Oryzias latipes: one gene and its partners. The protein of the gene in region 2 interacts with the protein of the main gene of each other region in a pairwise test. Links are inferred from orthologs where the notes say so. Each region holds a gene or a part of one and is shown on either strand. Other genes may lie near its edges.

Evidence for each region.
Region 1: the proteins of hnrnpul1 (region 2) and wwp2 interact in binary tests that used the Homo sapiens proteins (3 or more experiments, as listed by UniProt). The link is inferred for Oryzias latipes from reciprocal best matches to the Homo sapiens genes HNRNPUL1 and WWP2.
Region 3: the proteins of hnrnpul1 (region 2) and prpf40a interact in a two-hybrid assay, tested with the Homo sapiens proteins (2 studies listed by BioGRID and IntAct). The link is inferred for Oryzias latipes from reciprocal best matches to the Homo sapiens genes HNRNPUL1 and PRPF40A.
Region 4: the proteins of hnrnpul1 (region 2) and prmt2 interact in a two-hybrid assay, tested with the Homo sapiens proteins (2 studies listed by BioGRID and IntAct). The link is inferred for Oryzias latipes from reciprocal best matches to the Homo sapiens genes HNRNPUL1 and PRMT2.
Region 5: the proteins of hnrnpul1 (region 2) and sf3b4 interact in binary tests that used the Homo sapiens proteins (3 or more experiments, as listed by UniProt). The link is inferred for Oryzias latipes from reciprocal best matches to the Homo sapiens genes HNRNPUL1 and SF3B4.

The regions. Positions count from the first base shown.
Region 1 is NC_019864.2:27,483,232-27,489,030, forward strand, and holds part of wwp2 (NEDD4-like E3 ubiquitin-protein ligase WWP2), read left to right. Parts: intron 1-935; coding exon 936-1,008; intron 1,009-1,222; exon of another isoform or gene 1,223-2,639; intron 2,640-2,723; exon of another isoform or gene 2,724-2,862; intron 2,863-2,933; coding exon 2,934-3,085; intron 3,086-3,944; coding exon 3,945-4,188; intron 4,189-5,799. UniProt on the Homo sapiens protein: E3 ubiquitin-protein ligase which accepts ubiquitin from an E2 ubiquitin-conjugating enzyme in the form of a thioester and then directly transfers the ubiquitin to targeted substrates.
Region 2 is NC_019871.2:3,016,244-3,022,042, forward strand, and holds part of hnrnpul1 (heterogeneous nuclear ribonucleoprotein U-like protein 1), read left to right. Parts: intron 1-2,154; coding exon 2,155-2,283; intron 2,284-4,821; coding exon 4,822-4,990; intron 4,991-5,684; coding exon 5,685-5,799.
Region 3 is NC_019879.2:20,297,530-20,304,127, reverse strand, and holds the start of prpf40a (pre-mRNA-processing factor 40 homolog A), read left to right. Parts: upstream 1-2,309; 5' UTR 2,310-2,432; coding exon 2,433-2,435; intron 2,436-5,412; coding exon 5,413-5,493; intron 5,494-5,602; coding exon 5,603-5,743; intron 5,744-6,426; coding exon 6,427-6,510; intron 6,511-6,598.
Region 4 is NC_019879.2:19,641,354-19,647,657, reverse strand, and holds the start of prmt2 (protein arginine N-methyltransferase 2), read right to left. Parts: upstream 4,932-6,304; 5' UTR 4,687-4,931; coding exon 4,582-4,686; intron 4,505-4,581; coding exon 4,310-4,504; intron 2,283-4,309; coding exon 2,121-2,282; intron 1,565-2,120; coding exon 1,400-1,564; intron 1,258-1,399; coding exon 1,082-1,257; intron 1-1,081. UniProt on the Homo sapiens protein: Arginine methyltransferase that methylates the guanidino nitrogens of arginyl residues in proteins such as STAT3, FBL, histone H4. Acts as a coactivator (with NCOA2) of the androgen receptor (AR)-mediated transactivation.
Region 5 is NC_019869.2:7,214,778-7,221,282, reverse strand, and holds the start of sf3b4 (splicing factor 3B subunit 4), read right to left. Parts: upstream 3,908-6,505; 5' UTR 3,848-3,907; coding exon 3,814-3,847; intron 3,223-3,813; coding exon 3,094-3,222; intron 3,009-3,093; coding exon 2,457-3,008; intron 1,978-2,456; coding exon 1,819-1,977; intron 1,629-1,818; coding exon 1,473-1,628; intron 1-1,472. UniProt on the Homo sapiens protein: Component of the 17S U2 SnRNP complex of the spliceosome, a large ribonucleoprotein complex that removes introns from transcribed pre-mRNAs.

The DNA of each region.
Region 1 (5,799 bases), on a different chromosome or scaffold from region 2:
AAACCGCAACTTTCAAACCAATCCTAAAAAAATCAGGCCCAGACCCCAATTCCTTTCATAATCTCCATTCTATTTCTAACCTACCCTTCATCCCCAAAATACCTGAAAAAATTTGCCTCCGAACGTTACCATCATCTTAATCAAAACCATCTCTTTGAACCCTTTCAATCCGGTTTTTGCCCCCTTTATAGCACTGAAATTGCCCTGTTGAAAATCTCTAATGACCTTCTAGCAGCTGATTCTGGGCTCATCACCATCCCCATCCTACTTGACTTGACCGTGGCACTTGACACCATATCTCACTCCATCCTCCTTCAGACTTTCATCTCTTGACACCATTTTCTCTGATGTTCTTCAAGGTTCCCTTCTCTTCATTAACTGCCTCCTACCCCTTGGTAATATATTCCATAAATTCTACATAGATTTTCATTGTTTCGCCGATGATACTCAGCTCTATATGTCCAGTAACCCAACTCTTCTCTTCCACCTGCCTTAACCTGCCTGCCTTAACAGCGATACAACTGAGGCATAAAGGCTTATTTAGAATATTCAAAATATGTTTTGTTGTTTGTTGTGCTGATTTTAAAATTGTTCATCTTTATTAGTTTTAGTTTTTGCGTTTACCTATTGTCTAATGCAGTCGTGTCAGTCACATATTTAAAGGCTATTGAAAACCGTCCATAGTAGTTTAGGAAATTCTCTGTTGTGCGTCTTTAACTGTAAGTTTCGTGTAATAAGAGGTTGTATTGTAAAGTTTTATTTTTTTTAATGTGTTTTCCCCCCCTCTTTTTTTAGCTGAAAATATTTTAATTCTGGTCTTTAATCTGAACCCTTCTGACTGTGACTTTGCATCTCTTTAATTGGTGAAGTGTTCGTGATTCTGTCAGAATAAGGACTTGTTTGCATCATTGTGGTGTGATGTGTTTGTGTTTCAGAGATTCTTCAGTCTGACAGACCCAACCTGAGAAGGACGCAGAGTGAAGAGAGTGCATCTGCATCACACAGCAGGTGAGACTATCATATTAAAAGATGGATTAAAGTCACCAGCATGGGTGACGTCTAAAATAATAAATTTTATTGTGCGTTCATATACTCCTAAAAATAATACAGGTTTTGATATCTTGGATTTATTTTTGTAATTTTGCAGTACTATTAAAGTCTTAAATTCAATTCAATTTTATTTATATAGCCCAATATTACAACAGTCCCCTCAACGGGCTTCATATGGGTAGTTGTTTAATAAACGTGAAATCATAAAGAACATGAAGTCATAGAATTCAATAGGTAATGGCTAAGCTAAACACTAAACTAAACGGTGCCCTTAGACCCTCCTTCTCGGTAAGGAAAAAAAACCCAAAAAATGTCTGAGTCCAGGGAAAAAAAGAAGAAACTTCAGCAAATGTCCACATGAAGGGGGGATCCTCTCCCAGGACGTACAGGCGATGAACCAGAACTCTTGGAGAAGAATTATTTTATCTAACTCTACAACTACATGTTTGAATATTGCAACAGATGGGCTCCATCCAGATGGGGTTGGGGAAGGCTGAGGCTACAAGACGAGCCAGAGGCGGGGTCCACAGCCAAGTTTAGGAGCAGGCGTAGAGACAAGCCAGAGGCGGGTGCATGGCGGGTCAACCCCCCTCCCCATGCACCGTATGGGCACTTAAGTATTGGTATCGGCAAATATTGGCTGTCGGGCACAGTTGCAGAGGAAATATATGTTATAAGTATCGGAAGGAAAAAAATATATGGGCACATCCTTAGTGGTGGCTAAGGCTTTTGAGTTGGCTTTCTTTTTAAAAAGAAGTGCTATATCAGTAAAAGATCTCTTAAAATCTGGTTAATCTTAATCATTTTAAGATAACATGGATGAAATTTAAATTATTTTCGTCTTTAAATGTAGAACTGTTGGCTGTTATTTCAGGATCAACAATTAGCAGCTCGGCCTCTCATGACCTGATAGACTGACGTAAAACCTAACAGTGGAGGAGAGCTCTTCATCCTTCTGGTTTCAACACTCTGCAGACGTTTGTTTTTTACAATAAGGATAATGGTGTAATAATAAACTAGTGTAACCTCCTTCTAAAATACTGTTTGCAAGGCATCCAAATGAAAATAATGAACCTGGGATGTAATTCTATTCTAAATAAATTGAAGGAGGAGAAGAAAAGGACTGCAGTGCCAGTTTGTTTGACTGAAGAGCTTGAGCAGAGCGCCAGCAAACCATTCCCCACTGAGTGTGGTTTGAAGCGCTGCTCTCGCTGGCTAGAATGGTAGTGGGATAATAAATATTGAAAACAAACCTGCATTTATTTCAAAGCTTAGCTGCAGGAGTGCATGGGGTCAGATGGTATTCCCATAAAAAACACTGTGGGGGGCATTAAGCCCGGTTCAAGCGAGGGTCCGCACCGCTGTTGTCATGGAGAAGCGGTCAACATCTGTGTTGGAGAGATTAGAAGACTCAACAGCAGACACATTTTTCTCAGACAGCTCGGAGCTGGACGGCCACACGAAAACGGATTCGCTGGCACCAGACCGGCTTTTTGGTACGGCTGTTGCCTCTGTCTTCTGCTGCCTCTTATCCATTTTCTCTGGTCTTCTGGAAGCTGGTCCAACTGCAGCCGCAGCATTCCTCCATCCTGGAGAAAGAAAGCCAGCGTGTTTTTCTTCATGTGAAAGCTCCCGACTAAAGAGCAAAGTTATATTTAGCTCTGTGAAAATACCCAGCCGTGAAACGGGACCAACACCTCCTCCGCTTGTGCTGCTTTGATGCTGAGCACACTTGATCTTCTGCAGCACTGAGTCATGAAGCAGCAGAGCTCTGGGATGTCCGTTCCAAGCGAGTCAATGGAAGACAGGAATGGGAGGATCTGAACTGTGTTTTTGTTTCCTCCTTCTTATGTCTTCTCTGATTCATCGATTTTTGTTTGCAGGACCAACAGGCTCTCAGTGGGGGGTCTGCATGGCGAAACGACAGGGGGCTCCAGGGGGAGCTCTTTAACTAATGGGGAGCTGAGCGAGGAGCCGGGCTCTTGTGCTCGCCATCCACCCTTGAAGAGTCATGGCAGTCCTGGGGGCAGTGCTGGTAAATATTCTGCAGAACATGTGGACAACAATCAGCAGGTTTAGCTTCTTAGATGCTGTTTTTATGCTTTCTGGTGAACGCGCTCCATGAAATGAATATTATCTTCAAAGTCTATGAATTTGTTTCTTAGATGTTCCAATTGTTAAAGTTTAAAAACAGTTACCCGATTTTTTTTCTTTTCTCTTCAGATGTATGTTGTCGCACTGCAGCATAAGTCGTACTCTGGCAAAAAAAAGCAATGTTTTAAACAACTTTGCGTTTACGCTGAACAGGATGCATGTGTCAAATATGCATCCGTTGCTTATTTTTTGGTGCATGACAAATTTACTACTCAATGCTAGTCTAAACGTGTTTATAAACTACAGACTGCTGTTGCTGGGAGTTCTACAAGAACATCGGTAATCACGTCTCCATGTTTGGGTCCATAAAATCATTCGGAATCTGCAGCTCAACATTTACTGTAGGAGCTGCGTCTGAATGATGCTACTTTCAGCGGTACTTCCGTCTCTGTAACTCAGTCTGATGACTCGTCGTCCCACATTTTTGTTTGGGATGGTGTTTCTTCTTCTTTGTTGCCGTTAGTAATGACTGATATTCACACCCACAGTGCCCTCTAGTGATCGTTAGTGGGAACAACTGCTAAGTGGGAAAATAAAAAATTTATGAGCTAATATTTATTTTTTAAAATCACACAAGTCACACCCCTGGCCAAACTATGTAAAAAAAAAACATGACTTATACTCTGAAAAATATGGTAATTGTTGCAGAAAGCGTCAGATCCCATTGATACAGACCTGTTTCTTTGCAGTCAAACCTCCTTGTTCTCTTTGACCTCTGTTTGCTTCCCCCCCCCCCATAGATAAAGTGGAAGTCATGTCGAACGGGATGGAGAGCAGTTGTGGGGCCGTGGCCCGACAGACTCCTCCTCCTCCATCCTCTCCATCGGGCCGATCTCCTGCCGCCAGCAGCAGCGGAAGCCCGTCTCCGGGTCAGGAGGCCCAGGGTACAGCCGCCCCTGCAGAGCCCAGCCCCAACGCCACGTCCAACACAGAACAAAGCGGCACCAGCACCGCAGAGCCCAACACAGACTCACTACCGACTGGGTAAGAGCTGGGGCACTTTGTTGTCGCAGAGCCAAATGAAACTTTTGCCCCTGTGGGTAAATTCTATGCTAAAATATATAGAATAAAAAGAGTGTTTGAATAGTGCAACAGAAGTCATAAAGGAGACCATTCAGCTGATTAGACTATTTTGGTATTTTTTTCATGACTTCAGTCAGAGTTCCTTGTACAGCACTAAAAAAAAACATTTCCTTTTTGATTGTTTTGTATGTTTCAATAATGAAGTAGTTGTTCATGATTGAAGAACAAGAAAGAGTCTGGATTAAAATCCATGGGAGAGTTCAATGAAAATTATGCTGCTGAGCAAAAGCAACAGAAAGACTCATCTCCTGTTTGACCAAAACTTCACCAAAACTTAAAAAAAAAAGTTCTTTAGACTGATGAAACAAAAGACAGGCTCTCTCTGACATGTACATGTATTTTTATAAATGACCGTCACAGCGTTATTCTAGCAGGGGGGTAGTAGTGTGATAATGTTGGTGTCCTTTGAAGCTTCCGGATCTGAACTACTTGTAATCACTGAAAAGACAGAAATTCCGCCTTGTGTCAGAAAGACCTAAAGGAGAACAAACGACTAACAGTTGAGGAGAACTTTAGGAGAGCTGTGGTCCAAACACTGAAGCGTCTCTTAGGGGGCAAAAAGAATAAAGATCTATGACCTGAGAAAAAGGTGGCACAAACTTAAACAGCCTGTTACATGACACTGTGTTGCATTTAGCAGAGGCTTGAATACAAAGCGACTTGAAGGTTTCATGCAAATGAGCGTAATGTGAGTTTAGGTGTCCTTCTCAAAGACGAGATGAGTGTCAAAGCTGGTGTTTGAACCTCCAAAAAACCAACCTGCTGAACCTACGAACCTAAAGCCACATCTGTTTGTTCTGGAGAACCCAAATATGTCTGATTTCAGACAATTCCGCTAAGAAAAGTGAAGAATGACACGTATGTTAGAGACGCTTTAGCTCCGTGCCATTTACAGTTGTGACCGTTAAGGCTGGTAAAACCAACTACAGTGTTCCCTCTCGTTTGTCTTGTTCTAAAAAAAAACCTGCAATAGCAGATGAAATCCACGAAGTAGCATTGAAGATGTAAAAACTCCTCACTACATTTTATACACTTTCTCCCGACTGACATTAACACCTTCACACTTTTCTTTCTTTTTTAAACTCTCAAACTTCAAACATTCATAGAAAAATGAGTCCAGGATTATAGAATGAAAACAAAGATCTGATCGTGATGGAAGATTTATGCACAGAGATTGATTGACAGTGTCAACATTCAATCAGGCCGCAGAACACAATCTGCAAAAAATTATAAAAATAAAAAACCTTCAAAATTGTCATCTGTGAAACAGCAAGACTGTGAAAAGTCAATTGCTATATTGTGAGGGACCACCTTATTAAGGTTTAGAGGGAACATTCTCAGCTTTTATTGTGAAAGGACAGGCAGCAGAAGCTTCTGGTGCTGCTTAAACTGAAAATGTTTTTTCATGAATATGGTTTATATTCTGAGGACAGAAAGAAAGGAGGATCACACAGATCACTAAAGAGAAAACTGTTGTTCTCGTTGATTTAGTCTTGTTTTACTAAGTTAATG
Region 2 (5,799 bases):
TTGGTACTGCGCTCACAAGCGCAGGAAAGGTCAGAAAAAGTGCTGGACCACTGTCCTCTCCAGATACAACACTGGCCCCTCCCCGCAAGAAGAAAACCACTGAGGTACCCCCTGATGTGAGAAAGGACGGCCTGGATCATTTCCCAACGTGGGAACTCCGGCAGAGATGCAAGTGCTGCTCAGGCCACTTAACCCACGTGTACTGTCAGAAATGCGGAGTGCATCTTTGTTTGTTTGTTAGATTATGGGTGTGAGGGGTTGTAAACTAGTGGGAGGGCACAACAGAGACCTCAAGGTTACGGGTGACAGGAAGGGGGGCTGGGATTGCTCTGGGCCAAAGTTCCAACCCAAAACTTCGGGGGTATATTCTAATGAACTCCTGCCCCGCTGCATAATAACCGCAGTGCTAAAAACAACACAACGGTAATCATAATGAAAAAATCCACTGGAAGTACTTTGAAAATAGATCAAAAGAGGATCGTGGTGGGTCTTTAACACCAGAGCTGTAATGTTTTAACGGTTTACACGACTAAGGTAATTCCAGCATATTCTGAAGCTGAGAAAAGCAGCTTTCTGCTGATGTTCAATACTTTACGGTAGTAAGGCGTAAACTTTACAGTAGCAAGGTCTTTACGCAGTTGACGTAAACCAGCTCATTGTGATGTGCAGAAAAAAGCCCCATCAGAATTAGAATTAAAATCAGAATTAGAATCAAAATCCCATTATTTGTGCCAGTGGTTGCATAGTTAGGGTAGTTCAGTGCTTCTCAAATAGTGGGGCGCGCCCCCAGGGGGGGGCACGAAGCGATGCCAGGGGGGGCGCGCGGTGGTGGCGGTTTTAGGCACAGGTTTGTCCGGTGCGCAAATTTAACGTGGGGGCAGCGGTGACAGCGGCTCAGTGCTTGGAAAATAATCTGGTCCACTATTCGGTTCCTATTGTCTGTTCTGTCTGTCCGCGGCTGCGCGAGTGAGAACGAAAGGGGAGGGGTGGTGTGGGCCCTGTCTGCCAGGGGAAACGGGGCACGCGGACCACTGCTACCGCTGCCTGTTGCCCAAGATCACCGCTGCCCTTAGATTCCTAAGCTCATGCTAACAATGTCATTCTTTATGAACTATTGTAGACATTTTGATGACGTGTCTTTATTTTCCATCCATGTTTTCTTTGTCTGCCTGTGGTTTAGTTGGTGTCAGACAGACATAAAGACAGCAGGTAATGCAGGAAAACAGCTGCACTTTTATGAGATCAGAAATAAACAATCCGTCATTTAGAAAAAAAAAATCAGCACGTTTTTACCTATTTCTTCAGACTAAAAACGTTAAATATATTGGTGCTGCTGTGTTAATGTTTCAGATCAATTTAGATTTAATATTATTTATTGATTGAATTATTTTTTTCAGCATCAAATGGTTAAGTTGGTCAAAATGTTTCTAGTTTAAATAAGGAATGACAGATTTTTTTTTTATTTCAGGTACTTTCAGCTTCTTTTCTGTTTTAGACTAGAACAGGGTTTCTGTGGCTAAATAAAGTTAATATTTGTTGAAAGTGGATTTATTTTGCTTTTTTCTTTTGTTAGTGTTAAAAGATACAATTTTAGGTATACAAATTTTATAGATACTGACCTGATGTATTGTCACCGCGCGAGTGTGTCTGTGTGTGTGTGTGTGTGTGGGGGGGGGGGGGGTTATGGGGGGGGGGGGGGGGTCAGGGGGGGCGCGAAACATTTTCTTTTCCTAGGGGGGACCTGGCAAAAAATAATTGAGAAGCACTGGGGTAGTTCAAAGATTGTTTGTTGTTTAGCTGTTGACGGTGACAGCTTCGGTTTTAAAGGGTTAATGGTTACTGATATAAGAAGCAACTTTGAGGCAACTTCAGTCTTGGTTTATTTTTACCAGCTCTCTTCCATGAAATGGGGGGGGGGGGGGGGGGGGGATAGACAAAAAGTGTTTCAAACTGGTAAAATCCACTTATTGCAACCTACAGTATCTGTACTTTTTACTAACTACCCCTTTGTAGTTCTTTGGACTATTTTTAAGTCACAACAGTGACGACTCTTCCTCATCAAATGTCCATGATATCCCCTGAGCTGCGGAAACGGAGAGGAGTCCAATTCCTTCTTTGATTCATTCTTTAAACCTGAATGCGACTGCCGTGCAGGTGATGGGTCTGCGCCGCCAGAAGAACTACGCCGGACGCTGGGACGTCCTCATACAGCAGGCCACCCAATGCCTGAACAGGCTGATCGAGATCGCCGCCCGCAAGAGGCGCAACTACATCCTGGATCAGGTACTGCTGCTCCTCCTCCTCCTGCCTTCTCATTCTCACCACAGTCAGTCAATGTGCCCTGATGATCACTTTCTCTCTAATGGACTATTTATTTATCTTTCAGGGGGTCTCTGTGTATTATAGAGTAGAAGAAGCATTGATCAGCCTCTTGTCACTTGCTTTGTCATGCTTTTGTAACAGAAAATACGTAATGGCTCTCATAAGTGACAGAATATGTCGTGTTTTCACCCTTCAGTACATTTGCACCTTATTTCTTGTCATACTACAGTATTGTTTGTCTTGTGAAATTTCAACAATGTACAAGTAAACCATGACTTTGTAGAGATGTTGAGAAACAAGTAATCTCTGGTGAGTAAGAAAAACACCTTCTGTTGCTAATCTAATAAGACAGAGTCCATAGCTTCTTTAAGCTATTTTGAAGTGAGATACTTGGAACTGTTGAGTGTGTGTTTTATTTTGTTAAATTGATGCTGGAGGTAAGTGGCGACTAACGACGTTCAGGTTTTCAGGTTCTTGCTCTTGGCTGCGAGGATGAAGGTAGGTCGGTCTGATGGTTCTGAGGCTTTCTTGAGGACTCTGTGAGTACAGGCAGGTGGGTTGTTTCTGTCTGTCCTTGTCTGAAACGGGACCAGAGCTCTCATCAAGACCAGGTGAGTCACGGTAAGAGGGGGGACCCGTTAGAGGAACAGAAACATAAACGGGGTTTAGAAGAGGCGAGTCTCCGTCTTTATCTGCACAGTTAAAGCGAGCGTTCGAATCGTTTCGTCAGAGTTCTACTCGGCTTTGTGTTCTCGCTGTTCTCCGGAGCATTTTGTGTCCTGAAGAAGTTTTTTTCTGTGAAAGCGGTAGAAGACGAACAGGCTGCGGCTTTTCTGGATCGGAGTCAGCAAACCTGGAAAGGCTCGCTATAAAAACGGAAGCGGGAATCTTGGCAAACGTTGTTTTTCACGGTGAGATGTTTGGGAAGCTGAGCTTCAAAGCGATGGTTTCTGCGTTGGGGCCAGCCGCCGTCTCCGTCACGTTTGCCTTCTGCGTCGGGACGATGATCAGCTCGGGTTTCTGTGAACCGCCACGTTTCTGAGCCGAAGCTATTATGGGGGAAAAAGTTCAATTTCGAGTTCTGATTAAACATTTTGCTTTTTTTCCTGAGTTTAACGTGTTTTGTGACTGGATTTCATCACATGATGTAAATTGAAGCTAAAAGGATTAATAAAGCTAAAAATTTGATTAATTTTATGTTTTAGTTTGAGTGTTTTTATTTTTGTGGGCAACAAGAAGTCCAAGATTTAAATTATTGTGCCTTTGCTCTGCCTAGCTAAAGGTGCATTGTGGGTAAAATCAACAGGACTTTGCTCAGTCTGGTCAGTAATTGTTGTACAAGTGGAAAGTTAAAGCGTTTGTGACTCCTCGCTGACATCTAGTGGTTAAGGGAAAAACTGAAGATCTGCTTTTTCTCTGAGGTAAATGTTGTTTTCAACATGTTAGAAAGGACGAATATGAAGAAAACTAAGCTTAAAATTGCATTTCTGCTTTGTTTATTTATTCAAATTGTTGCAAATCAGGAGCAGATGGAAAAGTCCCGTTTGAAAAAAGTCGTTTATTGGATAGAAAGTACGCTGGGCGGGGCCACACGCTTCCTTCTGATGCCTCCACTGTCAGACAAACGGATCCATGAGCGTCTTCGTCAGAACTGGGCGGCTGCGTAGCTCAGATATTACTCGCCGTTTTTTTGCACCGCTGATGATACATCGGGGCTGTAAGTTAGAGGGAGAGCGTGTAAACGGAGAGCTCTTTAATATCAGGTGAATTTCTAATGAACTCTTGCCGCTTTGCAGAAACTATGTCCAAAAAAACAACTCAGGTGTGTTGATATTAGCTACAAGTGGCATCAAGACCACTGAGACACTTTGAAAATAGATAGGAAGATGATCGGACTTGGACTGAAATGAGCAAAGCCCGGAAAAGGCTGAGAAATCGACTTTAGCCGTGGCCTTCATGCCGGGCTTTGCTGCGTCTCTGCAGTTTAATCCCGCCGTTGTCGTCAGGAACTGTGACTTCTTAGTGTGATAGGTCTTCACCCGACAAACTCAAAGCGATGTTTCTGCCGTGTTAGCATGGAAGGAGCAAACTCAGCAGCTTTTCGGCGACCTTCGGGGAACCTTCTGTTCTCCATTTCTCACCCGAGCGCAGATCTTCAGGCAGGATCTGGTAAAAACCCGTTCTCCTCGTGACGCCTTCGTTTGTGCAGATCCTTGTTGGTCGGCCCTTTGAGGCGAACGCCGCCGTGCTGCGTAGTTGTTGCGGGTGGGGTCCCTCCTTCTTTCACTAACATCCAACAGCAGTCTCCGGGCGGCGGCGAGCAGAGCGCGAGGTAAAACCTGTGGGTGATGAGAGGCTCGTGAAAAAACCCTAGACTGCCATCCAAGCCAAACCTCTCTCACTTGACTATTGCAGGGTTCCAGCTTGCTCCCAGTGGAAAGCCATTACAAGTAAACAATAACAAACAAGCTTCTACTTCTTTCTTGTCGCCATTGCTAGACAAATGTATATGGATCAGCAAGGAGACGAAAAATGCGTCCTTTTGAAGGTTTTCAACGCAAGGCTATTGTAATTTGTCCCACGGACGAGGATTTTAAAGAACGAACATTAAAGCAAACCAATGAGCAGGGGAAGGATGTGCCCGATCATGCTGTGTTAGAAATGAAAGGTAGGAACGCTGTGGAAGCAACCAATAAAACACCAGATCTACTTTTGACTTTTTTTTCTGTGTTGTCTCTTTAAAAAAAATTTTAAAAAAAAAATCTACCTTGGAAGATGTTCCCCCTCCCCCCTCCCCTCCCCACCATCATAGCCTTTTTTTCTTTTTTTTTTGGTCAGATTATCAGACCTGGAATTATTTTTGTTTTAAACATCCCCACATAAATTTTTTTTTTTTGCCCGTTACCTGCCGCTTTCCGTTTAACCCCCCCACCCCCACCCCCGAAGAAGCACTGCAAACCAAGCCGGGTTCAGGCCCGATTGGCGTTTAAGCCCTCGCCTCCAGGAAAGAACCTTCCTGTGTTATTTTTTTTTTGGGAACCGTTCTTGGTCTGCAGTGCTGTCCCTGCTCCCCCTCGAGCTCTTAGTTGCCCCCCCTCCTCTACTGAAGCCCCCCTCCCTCCTTCCCTCTCTGTGTCTGCTTAAACAAATGTCTCCTCCATGCTCCCTGGAGGCGACCTTTGTTCTCTCCTCTCTGCTTTCATTACCTGCTCTGACTTTGTTTGTTGGCTCCGCCCTTGTATTGCACTAACTGTTGTTTGTTTGTTTCTTCTGGTGGTGTGGCTGCTCTGGTCTTCACTACACCCCCCCCCCCCCCCCCCTTTTTCTGTCTCTCCATCCTCCTCCTCCTCCTCCTGACGAAGCTAACTTCACTCTGCCGGAGCCCTGCGACTTCCTGGAGGCCGTGACCTACGTGGAGCTGCAGCGCGACGAGGCCGACAAGCTGCTGAAGCAGTACAACGAGGAGGGCCGCAAGGC
Region 3 (6,598 bases), on a different chromosome or scaffold from region 2:
TGTCAAATTTTTGCCATCGAAAATATTTATCTCTGAGCCAGGCAGTCTGCCACTGTTTTGTGTGCTGGGAATAAATTGTCTCAGAATTGTTATTTTTAAAGTGTGAAAAGTGACTGTATAAAGCAGTTATATAGTTTTAGACATTTATTATCTTTTGACTTTTAATGTGTTTAACCTTTGTGCTATCTTAGATGACCCCACCCTTACATTGACGTGTTATCCCTACCATAACAAAGGTGGATAAAGGTGGAAAGATTTCATGTAATCCATGGACACCAGTGAAGATCACAAATCATTGAAGAAAAAAGGTTCAGCGCACTGTCTAGTGGGTCTAAATGACCCAACTCCCAATGTTAAAGTGCCTAGGATAGCACAAGGGTTGCTGAGTGAGGAATTTTGAAAAAGACAAACCAGGGGATATTATTTAAACTAAATGGTCTGGAATCACTAACTATTGCAAAAAGAAAGGAGAGAAAATAGCATGTCTTTATCAATCAACAGCTTTATGAGTTGCATGTGATGGTTGCAATCTCGCAAGAAATTGCACCAGAAATAGTTTTTCTTTTAAGCCCTATCACTAAATGGATGTGCTGATGGAACACAGAGGGAATACAGTTTTGTGAACATATTGTATAATGTCTGCAGAACTGGGTAAACTTATAGATGAAGCAGGATGCACAATATTTTTGAGCTATGTTGTCTGAGAACAACCACAAGGGGTTATAACAAGGACAAATGTAGTCTCACGGAGTTGGGAGGCAACAACACGCCGATCCATGCAAGCTGAGAATCACACTGTGTTAGCCCTTATTTATGGATTTCTTTTATTTTGTTCTACATTTTAAAATGTGCAAAACATTAAAAAAAGCTAGGTTCTTAGTGAAATATTCAGCTTTAAACCAAGACTATGAGATGCTTTTTTCCCCTAAATAAACTAAATGTTTAAACCTATGTCTCTTCATTCTTACGGGGCAACTTGAATAACAGACTCTAAATGTGATGTGCTTTGTTGGTAGCTCATGTGGCTATGCTTGACAGGAAGCCAATTGTCAGATGAGACTGCAGTGCCTGCAAGGCAGGTCAGCAGGATGCTGGACTCAAAACTCACTGCCTCAAAATGGCCTGCAGCAAACATTGACCAACTCATATATTGTGAATCAATAGCACAGACAAAGATGAGGTACTGGCGAACTGGGTTAGGACTAGATCATAAGCACTCAGTGGCTCAGGCGGTTGAGCAGGTCGGCCAATGATCGAAGGGTCGGCGTTTTGATCCCTGCTCCCCCCGGTCAACTATCGTTGTGTCCTTGGGCAAGACACTTCACCCTCCCCGCCTCCAGTGTGGTTCCACTGGTGTGTGAATTCGTATGAATGCCCCGGTGATGGTCAAAGGGACCATAGGCGCATACTGGCAGCCACGCCTCTGTCAGTCTGCCCCAGGGCAGCTGTGGCTACATCAGTAGTTACCATCACCAAGTGTGAATGAGGAGAGAATGAATAATAAACATGTTGTAAGGGTTTTGAGCGTCTGGAAAAGCGCAGATGAATCCAATACAATACTATTTTTCTTATAAATATAGTGTTTTTAATGTTTATTTGGAAAGTGGGAATTAGTTGAGCCCTGGTTTAGACATCTAATCAACCTAATTGTCAAGAAACAGAAAAACGACAGGTGAAATGTAGTATCAATAATTAACCCCATGCTTAAAGCAAAGCAAAAGAAAATATTTGATAAATGTATCTTTAACTGATTCATTTGTTATTGTTATTTTTTATTTCAGCTACTCCAAATTCTACATGATGTTTAATCAAAAAACAGCTCTTTCCGTTTTTGTGTAAGGCAACCAGCATTACACTCAAGTATAGTCATCTTTACCCGACTCATTTTCAATGTACCTAGTAAAGAATAAAGATAATGAAATCCCTTATAAGACTATTCTTGGCATAATTAACAGCCTTTTAGTGGCATTTCTTCTGCCCTATTTTGGCAAAATATCCTTTTCAGATTTCTAAATTGGTTGAGGTTACATTAGATGTTGAGCAGGTCTGGTAATTGTCAAGAAAAGAGTGAACACATTTTATACCATTTACAATCATATGGACATATGAGTTATTTCATAATAATATGTGTGATGTTTTAAGTGAAACATTTGACTCAAAAGTTACATTGAGCCACACTCTTTTATTTGCCCTACTTTTAATTTGTTATATAGTTCGTTTGTGTTGTGTTTTTTTCCCTTTGAAACTCATAAATCTGGAATTCTTCTCCCCTCATCCCCGTTGATGCGCATGTCTGCGCACATTTAGCGCAAACTAACGCCACTGAGCTACAAACTTTGACCTCTTTGCGCCGGAAGCAACGTCGACCAATCGTATCGCTCTTTGTTGGGAGGTGCTGATGCTCACATTTGTCGAAGGCTCATTGAGACAACATGGTAAGTATCGTTGCTTCAAGTGCTAGTTTTTGTTTTCATGTTATATGCTAAATGCATTTTGTGGCTTTAAATTCACTACTTCTTGAAGGTTATTTTAAAGCTTATTTTACTATAGAGGGGCTAGACGTTTCAACAAAACCGCGACGTTAGCTTTTTTGTTAGCATTTAGCCGAGTTAGCGTCATGTCATCGACTATCACCATGAGAAGAAACACTAATAAGGAAAGAATAAACTCCCAATTGTAAAATGAATTTTGTTCTGTCAGTGTGGCAGTAGATAATTTATGCATTTTATGTAAAGGTGGTTTGGTGTAAAGGTCACAATCGCTGCCTCTCTTACTCTTCTTAGCCAGAGCATAGACCTAGCCCGTGTCCTCCTCGTTATAACAATCATTAACTGATGCTTAAGAATTGAAGGAAGGGTAATTAAGAATAGGGACAGACTTTTTATATTTCATGATAATCCATCTATCTACACGAGATACTTTTTTATTGACCAAAATTATGTATTTTTACACTTTTGTACCTATATGTTTATTTGTGAAATTACAGTTAACCTAAACGATAACTATAACTTGCTCACTTTAAAAAAATGTATTATTTATAAACGTTTTAAATGGATTTCCTTAAAATAAATTGTCTGTGGTAGTTTAAGACTATTTTGGGGGAAAAACATCTTGACAATGAATAACTAGATTGTTTTTCCTGCGGATATACATTTAATTGTGCATGTAATTTGAATTGATTAAAGTTGTAGATGTTCTATTTTAACGTGTTAGATAAAGAAAAACAATACAGGCCAAGTTCCAAAAAGTTAGAACTAGAAGTACTGTTCAACTAAAGTTTAAATGTTTACAAATGGTTAAAATGTTATATTTGTCAGTAAAAATCAGCTTCAGGTGTCACAGCTCAACAGGAGTATGACTAGCATTTGAGTTCAATGCATTGTTACATAGTTGAAAAGTATTAACAGTCTGTGAAAAGCAACTTGAAAGCTAAAAAAAAAAAAACTTTAAAGTTGGAATTCTGCCTCTGTCTCAAAAATTGTGGGGAAGGGTAGTTAAAGCAACTGCTCTATACAAATCTAAACATATATTATTTTGATCAAAATTATTTTCGTTGAAGCTTTTATGTCCACTTAGAGTAGAAAGATATGGTAAATGGATCATTTCTATTGCAAAAAGTATGCTAAAGTGAATCATTTCCCTCCACTAACTATAATAGAAAAAAAACATCTTATTTGTAAAGTAACGAAAATACTAAAAGTAGATTAAAAAAAACTTGCCTAAAATAGAGCAAAATTTTCCCACTCATGCTGTAAATGTTTTGCTTTTTAACAAAATCCCACTAAAGTATGTTGTAGATACGAATGGATAAAACTGGTACACAGACGTAGTTGTTTGAATAAAACAATATTTTGTTTGTTATAACACCATCAAGCCGAAGAATTCTTACTTTCTTTTCTATCTTTTCTTAATTGGATTATTCTATATAAATACAATTCAAGTGGTAAATAGATCCAATGTCTTCAACTGTAAGTGATTTTAAACACAGATTGTTTAAATATATAATCACAATAAAGCAAATGAAATCAAACTTTATTTATAGAGCACTTTTTAATACTTTATTATTGCAAAGGTCTTCACACACAAAAAATCAAAGAGCCAATGCTGTTTTCATAAAAATAACATCAAACTAATAAAAACACAATGCTCTTAACTCCCTGATCCCATCACCTCCACATTAGAAAACATTAAAATGAGCATATATTTGAGAGTAGGAATAAAACCAAAGTGAGTATCTCTAAAGTAATTTAAATTAAAACTCTTGTTTTAACACGAATCCCCCCCCCTCCCCAAAGTCACATATTTATTAAGTGACATGTTTTTACTTTAGCCATCCATTAAGAACTGTTTCACTTTCCAGTGTTTTTTTTTCATTCCTGAATCTTTGGATTTTATTTACAGCCCCTTGTTTAACCATTTACCTGCTCAGTTTAGACTTTCTGGTTTAACTTGATGCCTTGTATTAAAAAAAAAAACACTTGAAAAAAGTGTTAAAAACAGCTGCAGAACTAACGGCTGAAAATATAAATGACTTCTGTAGATAAAACCTGATTTTTTATTATTACCTCTGACAACGTCTGGACCACCCCACCTAAAACTCCAACTTCTGTCATGAACGATGTCGTTGGTTTTGCTCCTTATTTTTCATGGGTATATTAGGGTGAAACTTAAAACCGCGCAAAAAAATTTCTGGCAGATCGTCTTAAAAACTCACAGTGGCTTGTTGCAACAGATTTTTTCTCATCTTTTTAATTTCTATCTCAGAATTGAAATGCTTGGAGGAACACAGAGTACAGTTTAGTTACTTCATTTGTTGTCCCCCTGAAAAATCCATTGTATGACGTCAAATATTGCCTGTCTAGCCAGTCAGAGAACCTATTACATTTAAATTACTAATTTTAATTAGTTTAGCTTGGCTTTTAAAACTCCAGCTTCAAATGAAAGTCTAAACTGGTTTCAATTAGGATTTAGAACATTGAAGTGCACAGTAAATGTAAAATCCTAGCAATGAGATTTGTTTATTTAACACCATAATCACTTTCAATTTTTAAAATCCTATAAAATGCTGTTTTTGTAGGAATTCTGTCATGACTAGTTTAAACAAAATATATTTTTTAATATATCAGTAAATGTATCATCAAAATATTGGGATTGCTATTTTTTTATACTGATTGACTTTAAAATACTTATGCATGTTTTTATGAAAGGAATGATATTTGTCCTCATGTAATTACAATGCTAACTTTAAGTTAGTTTGTTTCTATACTGCTTTGCTTTAAATATTTTCTTTGGCAGGTCAATAAACTTGAGGATTTAGATTTATTGGTTTTTCCTAAATAATTGACTCTTAAGGGACTTTCCAAAAGTACAAGTTATGAGTTCTGACTGTGTTTTGTTTCTTTTTCTTAACAGTCTTCAACAGAAGCTAACAATGGTCCGAGCCAAGCACCAGCTTATCCGGCTGTACCACCCTCAACAATACCTCCTCCATATGTGAGTGATGGATAATTTTCAAAAATATGTTTTTGTCTTTTTTATTTCTCTGTTGTATTTGGAGTAAATAAGAATTATGTTTGTCTTTTTTTCTCTTTCGCTTCACCAGATGGGACCGCCAGGAATACCACCTCATTTTGCTCCGATGGGAATGCCCCCTATGGGTCAGCGACCTAGCATGACTCCTATGCCTCCTGGTATAATGCCCCCTGGCATAATGCCTCCTATGGCAGCCCCACCATTGGGACAGGTATGATTGTATGACATTTGTACCGCCCATGCAGCTTCTTCTGCAATGTGTTGCAAGAAGTTGGATGCCGTTATTTATTCATGTTATTCAGCTTATGGTTGCATTAATGCTGTGACTAAAGTTACATTTGAGAGCATAGCTTTGTAAAACTAAGATGCTAACAGAAATATAGTTAATGACGATAATAAATATCAAAAGATACAAATAGATTAATTAAATGAAAGCAAAGATTAAATCGACCTTGCCAGAAAAATTTCAAATGAACCATAAAAATCTGTATGTGAAGATGAATGCGATCTGATTGTTTTGGGTTTTTTTTTTTTCAATAAAAACATGGTATTGTGATTGAAACACTTCAGATCACTTTTCAGAATTGAATTAATGTTTTTTTTTTCCCCACAGCCGTCACAAATGTATTTGGGTTTTAAAAGATTTTTAGAAAGAAGTTTATGCCAAGTGACATACCTACAGATCTGAAAGGAGCTGTTTGTTCACAGAGCATAAGCTGTGGTTGGATTTATTTAGACAAGCTTGCTATACTTGGCTTCAAAGTTTCTTTTCTCCTCATTGAAAATCAAGCCTTTTACACGGTCATGCTTTCTCATTCAGAGTGTTATTGCTTAGGCCTGCACTTGCTAGTATGGAAATGCAAAATTAATATTTCATGATGCTCCTTTTATTAGATGCCAGGCATGTTGCCACCTATGTTACCAGGGATGATGATGGCTCCTCGCATCCCAGCTGCGACTGTACAGCCAACGGGACCGGTAATTTTCACAATCTTTTTTCCTCTTTTTATTAAACATACTGTAAAAAAACATGGCTATTTTTCAAATTCAAGAATATCTTCTTAAA
Region 4 (6,304 bases), on a different chromosome or scaffold from region 2:
TCCAGAATGAGGTTGTGAGAAATTCAGACTTCAAGCAAACTACAAGATTATTAACAGTATTTGCGGTTTTCAAGTGCCACAACACAAACAGGTGACAGTCACACATGAGGAATATTACAGAAATGAGTCCAGCTACAGAGCAGGATTTTGATCCCCAATACATTTTTTAAAAACTTAATTTTTGTTGGTATTGCGAGGCTTTGTTGCTTTTTAAAATAGTAGTCTGCCATGTTTACACGTTCAAACCTTTAGTTCCAAAAATACAGAAGCGTGACTCCCCAAAACTGTTTTCATTCTGACATTTTGCTCTTAACCTAAAATAAAAGGGCAAAAAAGGTTCATTTAGATTAATCCTTGCTGTTTGTGTCTGACTATGAGGATATTCCTGTTGTGTGTTTAATTCGTGGAAATAAGATGTGCATCTCTTCATAATTAAGTTATAGCTTAAAGAAACAGTCGATCATCTTTTGATCTGTTGTAAAAGACAGCGGGCTTTAAATCATCAGTACCGTATGCTGTTTTTAGCCAAAAATGAAAAAAAACAAAAACATTTGAAATTAGTCTCTGAGTTTTGAGCGGGACTGCTGGTAGGGAGAGACCCTACCCCCCTTCCCATCACTCATATCTGAGCTCATTATTAACATGCTCTCCCGCTGGCTTACAGCCCCTCACAACCCCGACCTAACATTACAGACGCAACAAAAATGGCGACCAACATTGGAGCTATCCAGCTGTACGGTTTTGAGCCAAATGCCAGCTCAGATGAGGAAAACAAAGACGTTCATGGATCTATTTGTCTAGTGGAGGCATCAGAATGGAGTTTGTGAATTGCAAACTGTATTTTCTACTTAACAAATTAGTTCTTTTTGAGACAGCATTTTTTTTATTGCCTCCTGATTCGCAACAGTTTGAATAATAAAATACTCAAAAACTGCAGTTTTGAGCTTAATTTTCTTTAAATGTGCCCTGCATGATCAGTTTGACGCCACAATAACATGTTAAAAACACTATTTTCATTGGAGTGGGTCTTTAACTATGACACCGTGTAGTTTGGAGTCAACAGCAGACACAAAACTCTTACTGAAGAGGTGTGAAGTCCAGGCCATAGGGCCGCTCCCAGAAGGACATTTTCTCTGCGTAGTAGCTTCTGGCCTGACATGGAACTAGAGTGAGGGCTGCCGAGGAGGGCCACATTACACCTCCATCTTTGAGCCAGCGGTCCCTGGCAACCAGAACCGACTCCACCATGAACTCAAACTAGAGCCAAGAAAAGGAACAAATCCAGACAGTTGCTGTGTACACCAAGCATCATCAAGCTTGGATGACGAAACACACGACGGGCATCGTCACAGAAATCTAAAAAACTGTTCGCTGACAGCACTAAAGGTGTTCATTTTACCAGGAGGCAGTTCCCCATCCACTCAGACACCAGGACGTCCACCTGCTCGGGCAGCTCCAGCTCCTCGGCTCGTCCCTTCATCACCGTCACCACGTCCTCACAGCCGTTGTGCTTCACCAGCTGTCCGGTGTAGTCTGCCATGGAGCTCGCCTCCACAGCATACACCTAGAAAACACACAACAGCTTCCAACATGATCAAACTGTCCATGCAAGTTCTTCACCAGCAGATGGGAGTATTACCACAATTATCTCAGGAACTGTTCTTTTTTTTAGGATTTTATGACTTATTTTAGTGTTTAGTCTTTTAGGACAGAAGTTTAAGAACAATTTTAGAATAGCATGATATTAGTAGTGTTCTCATTTTAGGATAAAGTTGTCCTTCTTTAAATGAATTTAGTAAAAAAATTAACAACAAAACAGATGTTGGTCTAATATATTGTATGTTGTATGAATTACATAAAATCTGAACCAACTAACAGTACATTTTCTACAATATTTAGAACCTAACAAAGTCTCCTCCCTCCCATGTAGATAGAAATAATAGTTCACTTTGATTGGTAATATTCCACCAGTACTTGTTTGCTTCTCTGTAAATGAAGCAGAGTGTGCATTATATTCATGCAAAAAAAGTGTTTGCCGTATATTACATAAGGTATATTTAGAGTGCAGTGTGGTGGAATACATATGTATCTGACTGTATGTGACATCCTATTAACATTACCGCTGAGGGTTTCGCCAGCTGAGCACAGAACATGCTGATGATGCCCGTCCCACAGCCGAGGTCCATCACCACCTTGTTCCTCAGGGAGGCGCTGTTACTGACAATGACCTGTCTGTACGTTTCAGTGCGGCTCCGGTCGGACAGCATCTCCAGGTGAAGCTTCTGAAACATATTAAATAAGTGAATAATAGAGAGATGTTCATGTCCAATCCTGGTTCTAAAGAGTCCCCGCCCTGCTTGCTTTTTCAACCACACCTGTCCTGCTTGCTGTTGATCAGCTGGGCCTTCACTATTCCTTCGAGGAAAAGATGGAGAGAAAGGTTCAGTGTTTTCACAAAGTGGGCTAGCATAGGTGGACACAGCAACTTTATATGGCAGCAGTAAGTCAGACTCGAGTTAATAGCTCAAGCCTGCTGCAAAGAACTGCATCTATTTAAATGGGACCATTTTTTTTATAATAATGTTAGGGATGCAAACAAGCTGTGTTTAAAAATCCACCAGATCAGCTGCATTTCCTGCTTGATAGATAGACAGGGTGGGTCTCAGCTGTGGTTTGTTTGGGAAGGCAATTTGTTGACCATTTTTGTAAGATTTATTTTTCTCTCTGAGCAAAGGCAGCATAATTGTACAAAACATTATTTGGTCTGATTGCAGTCTTTGTAAAGGTTTAGATTGCCTATGGATTTTATTTGTGGCATGAGCTGTTTTTATTGAACTACGGTATTTATTAAATATGTTTTATTAAGTTTAGCTTTTAACATCCATCACTTTTTTCAATTTTAATTATGTTAAAACACTTTAAAAATTTAGATAAAGCTGATGATTTGCTGTTTTGATTGACTTTGCCGTTTGATATCGTCAGACATTGCAAGATACCCAAAGTAGGGGATCGGTTTAGTTGGATATGTTAATGTATGAATACTAAATGTATTGAATTTGTGTAAACAAATAAATAATTCATAAAGTGAGTGTAAAACCTAAATAATATAAAGATATAAGATGAGAGGAGCAGGAAGATAAATAACTTAGATTACTTTCCCCTGATGTATTTCTTTGTCTAACCCAGAGGTCTGCAACCTTTGACACTTAAAGAGCCATTCAGGTCAATTTTTTACTGACGACAACCCAAAGTGTTATTTCAATCTTTACAAGAGTAAGAACCACATTTGCATTTATGTTATCATCACTATTATGATTTTTAAAAATAAACTCCTGTTTTTTGGAATAAATGAAATAAAATGAAAAAATAGCCTTTTTTTGAAAATAAGAAACAATTTCTAACTTTTGACAAAGTTTCGTATGACTCCCTTTCAAAGTAAGATACCCCATGTGTCACAAAAGATCATCTCAATGCAGCAAATGTAGCAGTAGGAAGTGTTATGTAAGCGGTGATTTGAAAAAAAAAGATTATTTTACTGTTAGTGGGGCATCACAGTCAAAAATTTGTAGACCTAATTAACAAATATTAAATCAGAGCTAATTAAGTAACCCTTTAAAAATCATAATTAATCCTGGTGCACCTTAATTCTGATTGTGATTACTTACCTCAAATTCATTTTCAATAGAACACACATTTCTGTCATAATGTTTTAGTTTGACTTGTGAGACTGTCAACTATTTTTTTAAACTTTTCTACTTACTTTTTGAAAAATAAAAACTTGTAATTTTTCTTTAACCAGAGAGCCACAATGGAGGGGTAAAAGAGCCACAATGGAGGGGTAAAAGAGCCACAATGGAGGGGTAAAAGAGCCACATGTGGCTCCGGAGCCCCAGGTTGCAGACCCCTAGTCTTAAGATACTTAGCAAGCTTTGATGATGAATTTCAAAGAAAAACACAAAAACTTAATTGAGATTTTTGTTTTAACACTTAAATATAAACTTTCAAGTTCATGCCTTTAACCATTTTTTTCCATTAAAAGACACTATATTTTTATATAATGCTTTCTTTAGTTAAGTTTCACTAGCAAAGAGACATTTGTTACAAAAATAATTTAACCTCTTCTGATTTCCATCAGCTGAAGTAAAAACTGTTTTATCCTAAATTAGCTGGGATGTTTGTCTAATTTGATTATTTTTAATTAATGCTGTACTCTTTGTTATAAATAATATTAAAGCCTTTTTGAGGGAAAGTCTATTAGAGTAAACAAAAAGTAACTATTATGTTTACAAAACACGTTCACATATCTAACCAGTGTCCCGTAGCTTCCATAGTATTCTTCATCCTGCCACGGGTCCTCTATAGAAGCATCCTCTTCCTCATCGGCGGTGTCCTCGCGCAGGTATCTGGCCGGAGCATAACCCGTGACCCCCTGCAGCTCCGCCCACCACCAGTCTGCAGAAGACTTGGAGAGGACAAGCAGCCTGTCTCCTGTGTAGAAACTCAGCTGCGGGGCGAGAGAGGGGAGGTTATTCAGGGCTGCGGGTGCTCAGATGCGAGGCTGACGCCTGCGGGTTCTCTAACCTGCTCAGAGCCGCTTCCTGTAAAGTCACACAGCGCGACCCACTCTTCAGGAGACGCATCCTCCTCTTTCTTTGTGTCCATATCCACAAAGTTCTTTCGATCCATCAGCGTAGCAGCCTATTTTAATCAAACTACATTGAATACAAATCGGTGTTAAAATGTTAAATAAATAAAAAAGTAGTAAAAAAGAAAAAAAAGAAAAGATGTGCAACTCGGGGTAGCGCTGGTACTGGCTACACTTCCTGGTATGACGTCACTATGCGACTTCCTGGTTCCCGGAAATGTCTACATTTGTAAGCTAAAGAAAATTAAACACATTTTCTCCAAATTGGGAGCCATAAACTTTCTTTTATTTTGTTACTATAATGTGGTAAAGATCCCAATAAAGCTTTCCTGCTTCCATAAACAAATCTTACCTTCCTGGTCACTCATTTACAAACACATTTTTTCTCCACACAGATATGGAACAGCAAAGACATCAGATAGACATAAATCCTTATTTTATCCATCTTGGTTTACTCAAAACATCCTTCTGGTTCATCAACTGTTTAAATCAAACGGATCTTTAATGTCACATGAAAAACTCTGCCTCAAATATTGCATCAAATTACCTAAAACGGAGTTTAACATTGTTTTGAAAGCAATTCCTAAGTGTATAACTACGTTATTCAAAAGCTCATCATTGTGGAGTCCAACTCTGTTACCAATTGGCCTAACTAAATTAGAAATAGGCCAAATTTGTTTTTCTTCTTCATGTAACACAAATCGCTGCATACACTCACTCTTTCAGAAGGATGTTGTATCCATTCCCAAATACTTTTTAACCAATAAAGTGAAAGAAATCTCATTTAAATTAGTCCATAAATTTTACCCATCCAAACTATATCTGCAAAGGTTCAAAGAAGATATTGATGTAACCTGTTCTTTTGGTCAAGAACACCCTGAAGATGCTGTACATTTATTTTGGTCATGTCCCTTTTCCACTACTCTATGATCTAAAGTTTTTAATTTCATTTCCACCCACATTGACCCAGACTTTCACCTGTACTTAGAACATGTTATGTTTGGCCTCACCCACTGTCCATCTCATAAAAAAGAACAATTATACATCATTAAACTTTTATTTTTTTTCTGCAAATGGAACATTTATAAATCCAAAGTTACACATCATACCCCTCATTTTTCTGTCTTTGTCAAACAATACATTGACATACTAAGAAACTCTGACAATAAGAAAGCCATTAAAACATTCCATCTGCGCGTCAGTTTCAATGTTTTTATGTAAAATATAATAATAATCCCCTGGTTTGTTTCTTTTCTTGTTGCTGTTTTGCATTGTTGTGTATTGAATTGTTACATTCAATAAAGTTTGTAAAAAAAATAAAATTAAAGAAAATTAAACAAAAAAGAAACAGATTTTAAAAGTTTTGTTGCATGATAAATGCGTTCAAGTTTTTTTGTTATTTTAATTAAATATAAAAGTGACACAATTTTTTTTCATCATGCTATTAATCGAGAAAAGAATCAGAACAACAAAGGTGAGAAATTCAATGTCAGTCGTACTCGAGTCACAATTTTTTTGTTTTTACCTTCAACATTTAGAATTATGATATAAAACAAAAATCAAACTGTCTTTTTGTATTTCATTTGTATTCTTGCAGAAACACTAAATGCCTTAAATCAAGCTCCATAAATGTGACATTAGAACTATGTGTAGTTTTAC
Region 5 (6,505 bases), on a different chromosome or scaffold from region 2:
CTGCCCGTAACAAAAATTTCGAATCGATTCAATCGATTTTTCGCCCAGGCCGAAGTCAAACTAAAGCCGTAGGTCATTAGGTCACTGTACTGATTTTAGTCACAGTTGAAAAAGAAATGAGACCAAAGTTTGGAACAGATTATGTTTGAAGGGTTCCTTTAGATCATGTGTCAAACTCAAGGCCCGGGGGCCAAATGTGGCCCTCCATGTCATTTTATGTGGCCCGCGAGATCATAAAAGTTTTTAATTTCTTAAAATAAAATAAAAAAAATGGTGTAGACAGGGCAACTATACATTAGGACTTAAACACTGTCCATATAACCTAACCTGACAGAATCAAATTTAAAAGGATTTATGCTGGAAAAACAAGCAAACATGTTTTCTATGCAACTGTAATTGTCACTTTAAAAATTTATAGTAAATAATGAGTTATTTAACATTAAGGAGTAGTTACATTTATTTTTCATTACATTTAGTTACATGTATAAGTTATATCTGGCCCTTTGAGGACAGCCGCTATGCAGATGTGGCCCTCGGTGTAAATGAGTATGACACCCATGCTTTAGATGGATCCGAATTAGCATCTCATTTATTAAGTAAAAAAGTTAAGTATTTTTAGAGCAGCTAAAATAATTGAATCCACTGCAGTAAAGTAAGAAGGACTTTTTAAACTTTATACATCTCTGACCACATGTCAGCCACTCCTCTTTCAAAATACTCATCCACATCCCTGCTGTAAAACCATTTACTGCTTTAAAACTAGCAAATCTGTCCAGGGATGTGCGGAGCTGAATCGCGTGAATCGGATTTTATTTCCGGATCAGAGAACTTATATGTCTTGTATTCTAATTATGATCAAAAACGACTATGCTAAAAGTCTGCAGGGGTGTCAACATGAAGTAGGGATTCTCGCCAGGACGGACAGGCGACGTACCAGAACTCCTAGAGAAGAATTAGCTTATCTAAATCTACAACTAGATGTTTAAATAGTCCAGCAGACGGGCCTCATCCAGATAGAACTGGGGGACAGCTAGGGGCGCGAGACGAGGTCCACGGCCAAGCTGCACTATTTTTACTCGATTGTTCAAACTTATTCACTGAAGTGCTCTGTTTAAGTCTAAAATGATCAAATCAAAACTAAAAACCAAACGACTCTGAATCTGATCAGGATATCCTTAATTCAGCTGACAATAATTCATTAGCAAGTTTAGTTTGAAAAGGTAGGTATTTGTTTGAAGTTTTACTTTATCAACAACTCAAATATTAGGATGCTACAAGCACAGGTGATTTCATAAATGTAAGTCAGTGACTGAGATGATTGGCGGACCTGGTTCCTTACCAAACCCCCATTACATCACTTTCAGAGCGTCTCTGCCAAATCCTGCCAACTCTGACACTTCCTTCAACGCCGTTTTTCCTTTCAGGTGTTTTTTCTATTTGACAGAGACATGAAGAGGCGTCATAACACTCACCCATGGGGGGTCCATATGGTGCTCTGGGCGGCATGCCCATAGGCGGGGGTGGGGGGAGGTTGGGGGGCGGGGCGCGTTGGGATGATCCTGGTGGAGCAGGAGGAGGTGGAACCATGCCAGGCGGAGCGGGAGGGTGCATGGGCATCTGAGGCATACCTGAGTGACAGAAACGGATCAAACTGGAGGTGGCGGGAAGAAAAACTAGATACTAAAACGAGAACAGGCTTTGACTTTCAGATGTTTATGCGGATGCCAAACAAAGTAAACGCGGCTCTGAGGCTCAAAACCTCTGTATTTCCTCCGACAGAAAGACAAAAACCACTCTTAAGAAGTCACAATGTCTCACCTGGATGCATACTTCCAGGCGGGAAGGGTGGTGGTCCACCTGGACCGCCAATACCCTGTGGGCCACCTGCTGATGGAGGCATCCCCATGCCATGGGCCATGGAAGGAGGGAGTGATCCGGGGGGAGGAACAGGGGGAAAGGCACCAGGAGGTGGCAGACCTGCACACACAAATCAACACAATCTACTTGAAGGACTTGTGGGTACATTTGTTTGTATTTTTGCAGCTAATTGCTAATTTGTATCTGTAAAAACACTTGTTTAGGCTAACACAAAACACAAGTCCCACACTGATCATCCTTTGATCTTTTTTCAAAGCGGTCTTTTATGAAAATGATGATGGTGATGATGCCATTTTTAGCCAAAATCAAAAGATCCTGTGTTGTTTTCTAGAACATAGTTTCTGCGGAATGGCAGTAGTTATGTAAAACTACAGAAAAATCCTTTTTTTTTGTCTGCTTCAGATTTAAATCCAGTTTTTAATTTTTGCAGTTTGCAGTCAAATGCAAGTTTGAGCTACATTTTCTTTGTCTCTATCATCAGAAAAATGCCACAAAAATACATCAAAAAGACAATGTTCATAAAAGCGAGTCTTTAAAAAAACAAAACTATTTTCACATAAATGTGACGTAACACCCACCTCCCATGCCCGGAATACCCATTCCAGCTCCTAGTGTGGTCAGGACCGGGGTGGGAAGAGAGGGAGGTGGTGGGGCATCAGCGAACAGCTGGTGGGGCCTGTCCGCCTGGGACAGCGGATTCTGCGCCGCCAGGAGTCGCTCTGCGGCGGAGCCGTGGCGCTCCCCTTTAGAATCTTTCTTGAAGGCGTACGACACAGTGATGGGCCGGTTACAGAGGTACTGGCCATTCATGGCCTCGATGGCGGCATCAGAAGCATCAAAACTGGCAAAGTTGATAAAAGCGTAACCCTTGGAGTTGCCGGTGTCTGGGTCTCTCATGATCTTTGGTGTTTGGAGAATCACACCGAAGGCACTGAATGTGTCGTAGAGCAGTTTCTCATCGATTTCTGGGTCCAGGTTACCGATGAAGATGTTCGCACCCACATCCAGGTTTTTGTTGTGTGCCGAGGCCTTATTGACTCGAATGGGTTTTCCATAGAGCTTGATCATATTCATTATTTTAATAGCATAATCAGCATCCTCTTCGCTGAGGAATTCCACAAAGCCATAACCTAAATAAAGAAAAACAATTTTGTAAAGATAATTTTCTAAGAAGATAATTGTTCAATCTTGTTGACCAACTGAAAGTGCACTCACCCTGATGTTGACCCGTGACCCTGTCTTTGGGCATGTGCGTGTTTACCACAGGACCAGCCTGCAGGAAGAGTTCCCATAGCAACGGCTCCGACACTTTCTCATCCAACCCACCGACATACACCGTGGCATCTGGACAGACAAGAGCAGGCTTGGTGAGTAAAACACTACAAAGGTTTCCACTTTCTGACACAAGTTAATGAATACGAATTACAAAAAGAAATGACCATATTTATGTTCACTTAAAGTTTCATTAGTTCTTTTTAAAACCATTGTTGAAACTGTGAAAAATTTAATGATCATGCTGCCTGGTAAGAATAAAATGAGGTCAATGAACTGAAGTTAAATTATGAAAGAAGTTGCAGTTGTTTAGTATTAGTTCCTGGCATAAAATATTGCTTTTTCTCTTTCTATTTATAGATTTGCAACAATGGAAATGAGTATACGTTTTTTCACAGCTTAATGCTTATATAAAAGGACGTGCATCTAAAGTGCAAATTCGATAAACGATTAATTGGGAGAATGGCTTTATTAGCTACAAGCTAGGCTAAAGCCGCTTCACTCCATGTGTTTACCCGGTTTCAACAGAAGAATATTAGCTAATTTTAGGATCCATATTCGCTCTATGAGGAAAAATGTGCCCTTGTTGGGTGTTACTACACATTACATACATTTATGCACGGCTAAATGTCAAAAGAAATGGGTAATAATTCCGTAAATTACCTTGGTTTCTTTCAGAAATTGGTCCCGCGGCCATGTTGAATGACCAACGCACCAGAAGCGTTCATGTAGGAAGCTCCGCCTCTTCCTGTTCAGCAAACCGGAAGTTATAATATAAAATGAACTCCTCTTTCAAAAAATAAAATACAATATCTTTGCTTCGTTTTAGATTATTTTTTTAATAGCATCGAACAATAAAAACACAAGACCAGATAAAGTTCAAAACTTTGTACGGACCAATTTATTACATATTTATATACATTTTTATATAAATCTACTAAAAGTATAAACATGGAATACAAATTGTTCATACAAAATACAATTTGGGCATAATAAAACCATTTTTATAAAACAATACTGTATCAAAATAAAATAAAAAAGCATGTCATGCAACAAAGTTCAAAACACAAAAAGCCAATGTTTTCATTTTATAAATGCATATATAAAAATGGGTTAAAAAAGCCTTGATCAATAATAACATAAGTGAAATGCATTTGTGTACAGAGCTGAGACTTTTACATTAAAAAAAAATGAACATTAAGAGCTAAAAATGGCTGCTCATTTAGAAAAGTAAGAAACAAAAAGGACACACATAGGTCAAAGTCTCCAAAAGCTTAATAAAAAAGATGTTCAGATCATTTTTTGATGGCTCTTATGATATTGCAATCATTGTTTCTAAAAATAATAATAATAATAATCAAACGAAAAGAAAAAGGAAAAAAGTCTTTTGACTAATCCAACTTGAGTCACAGACTTAGCAGAAAAAAACAAATTTTTATTTCAGTCAAACTGTTCATTCCTTTTAAGTCTCATTAGAAATCTTTCAAATGTTTCAAGTAACTGAGCAAATTACAGATCCATTATGTAAGAAGTGTAAAGGCCAAAAAGTTTTAATTAAGATGTTTTTGAAAGGTTTTACAATCAAATACTACCTATTTTCTTAAAGTTGTATCAACATAACACAATTCCAAATGGTAGACTTTAATCTCAGTCTTTTGGATAATTTTCTGTTATTTTATGTTGCCAATTCCTAAACTTTTATTGTGCTGCACAAATGCCAGCCCTCCTGCTGTTTAATTTGCCTAAATCCAGACTGATCTTTTAAGTAGAGACAGTCCAATAAACTGCATTCACAAGCGTCTTCAAAAGACCACCGGATCAACTGCCTTCATGTTTATAGGGTGCCTAACTATAAAGATTTTTACTTTTCAACAAGTGTTATGAGGTTGTATTTTATTTTCTCAATGTAAAGTTGTGGTATCTCAAACCAAAAAAGGAAAAGCAGCTCAGAAACTTTCCAAACTCCTTTTTCTAACCTTCTTATTGTACCTCTAACCAACACTGAATCCTGATCCATCTACATTTCAAACACAATCCATACCAGAGCAGCATTGTAGGTCCTTCTGTCGGTGACACAGAGCATACATTCGGCTGCTGGTGTTCTCACCACATACAATGAAGTCTACAATAGACAAAAGGAACATGATGACAGATTACCATCTAATTCTTGTTAAACCTGAGCAGCTGCTGCAGGCATCAGTAAAGCCTTAGTCCTGCGTTCACCTGTACGGTTAAAACTGTACGGCTGTTTTTAGGTTGTCCAGGACCATGGAGGGTTGTAGAGAAGGACGTCGTGAAAGGGAATGTACTATTATTATGGGTGTTGTAGGAGTTTAGTGAAGTTACACATACATGACATGTAGGTGGTGCGTCATACGGTGCCCTAACGCTGCACTCTTGTCATGAGCAAGTTGCGAATACTAGCTCTTTATTGACTGCACACAAATGCTGCACACACGGTGTACACGGGATAAGTACCATATTTTCTGCACTATGTGGTGGACCTAAAAGCATCAATATTTTTTTTCAAAATAGGGCCTTCTATTGATTCTGGTAGCGATTATTGATGTCGAAGCAATTTTGATAGGTACGCGGCACTCTGTCAAAATATTTGGTTATGGTTTAGTGTGAATATGCTAACGCAGCTAACATGTAGCGGTTTTGGTGCGTTTCTAACAAGGTTGGGAGTTAGCGTAGTCACAGTAATGTCTGTTTTAGCGGTTTCAGTCTGTTTTTTATGTGTTGAAAACAACGTTGCGTGTTATTGTAATGGGAATAACTCTTTTAATGTGGCTAATGTGTATCGAGTTACGAACGTCTTGAGTCTGACAGATTGACGGCCTTATCTCTGACTTTTTTGTCTTCGGTGCGCCTTATATATTGCAAAAGTTCGAAAACAGACCATTCATTACCGGTGCGCCCTATACTGCGGAAAATACAATAAGTGCGGTAGGATGCCAGTACAATGCTTACCGTACATCTTCCAATAGTGGCCGGTCTTTAATTGACGCCAATCTAAATAAACGCCGGTCCTAACAGGTGCTCTTAACTTTAAGTCGCCAATAGTGGGTGAGCTCCTGTAAGCCGTATGACCTGCCTGCACCTCACCTACGTCACTCTTCCTAAGGTCGTGTCACACAGCCACTACTTACTTTTGCGCATATTGGATAAAAGAAAATTGGTCATACGTTAACCTACATGGAAAAAGAGAGAAAAGTCGTGGTCTTTATGTGACATTTTCACAGATGTATCACAAATGAACCACGTTAAAACCACAGAAGAAGTACGGATAAACCACCAAAGAACACGTAAATCAACGTCGAACATGAAACGTCCGCGATTATGGCACTGTTAA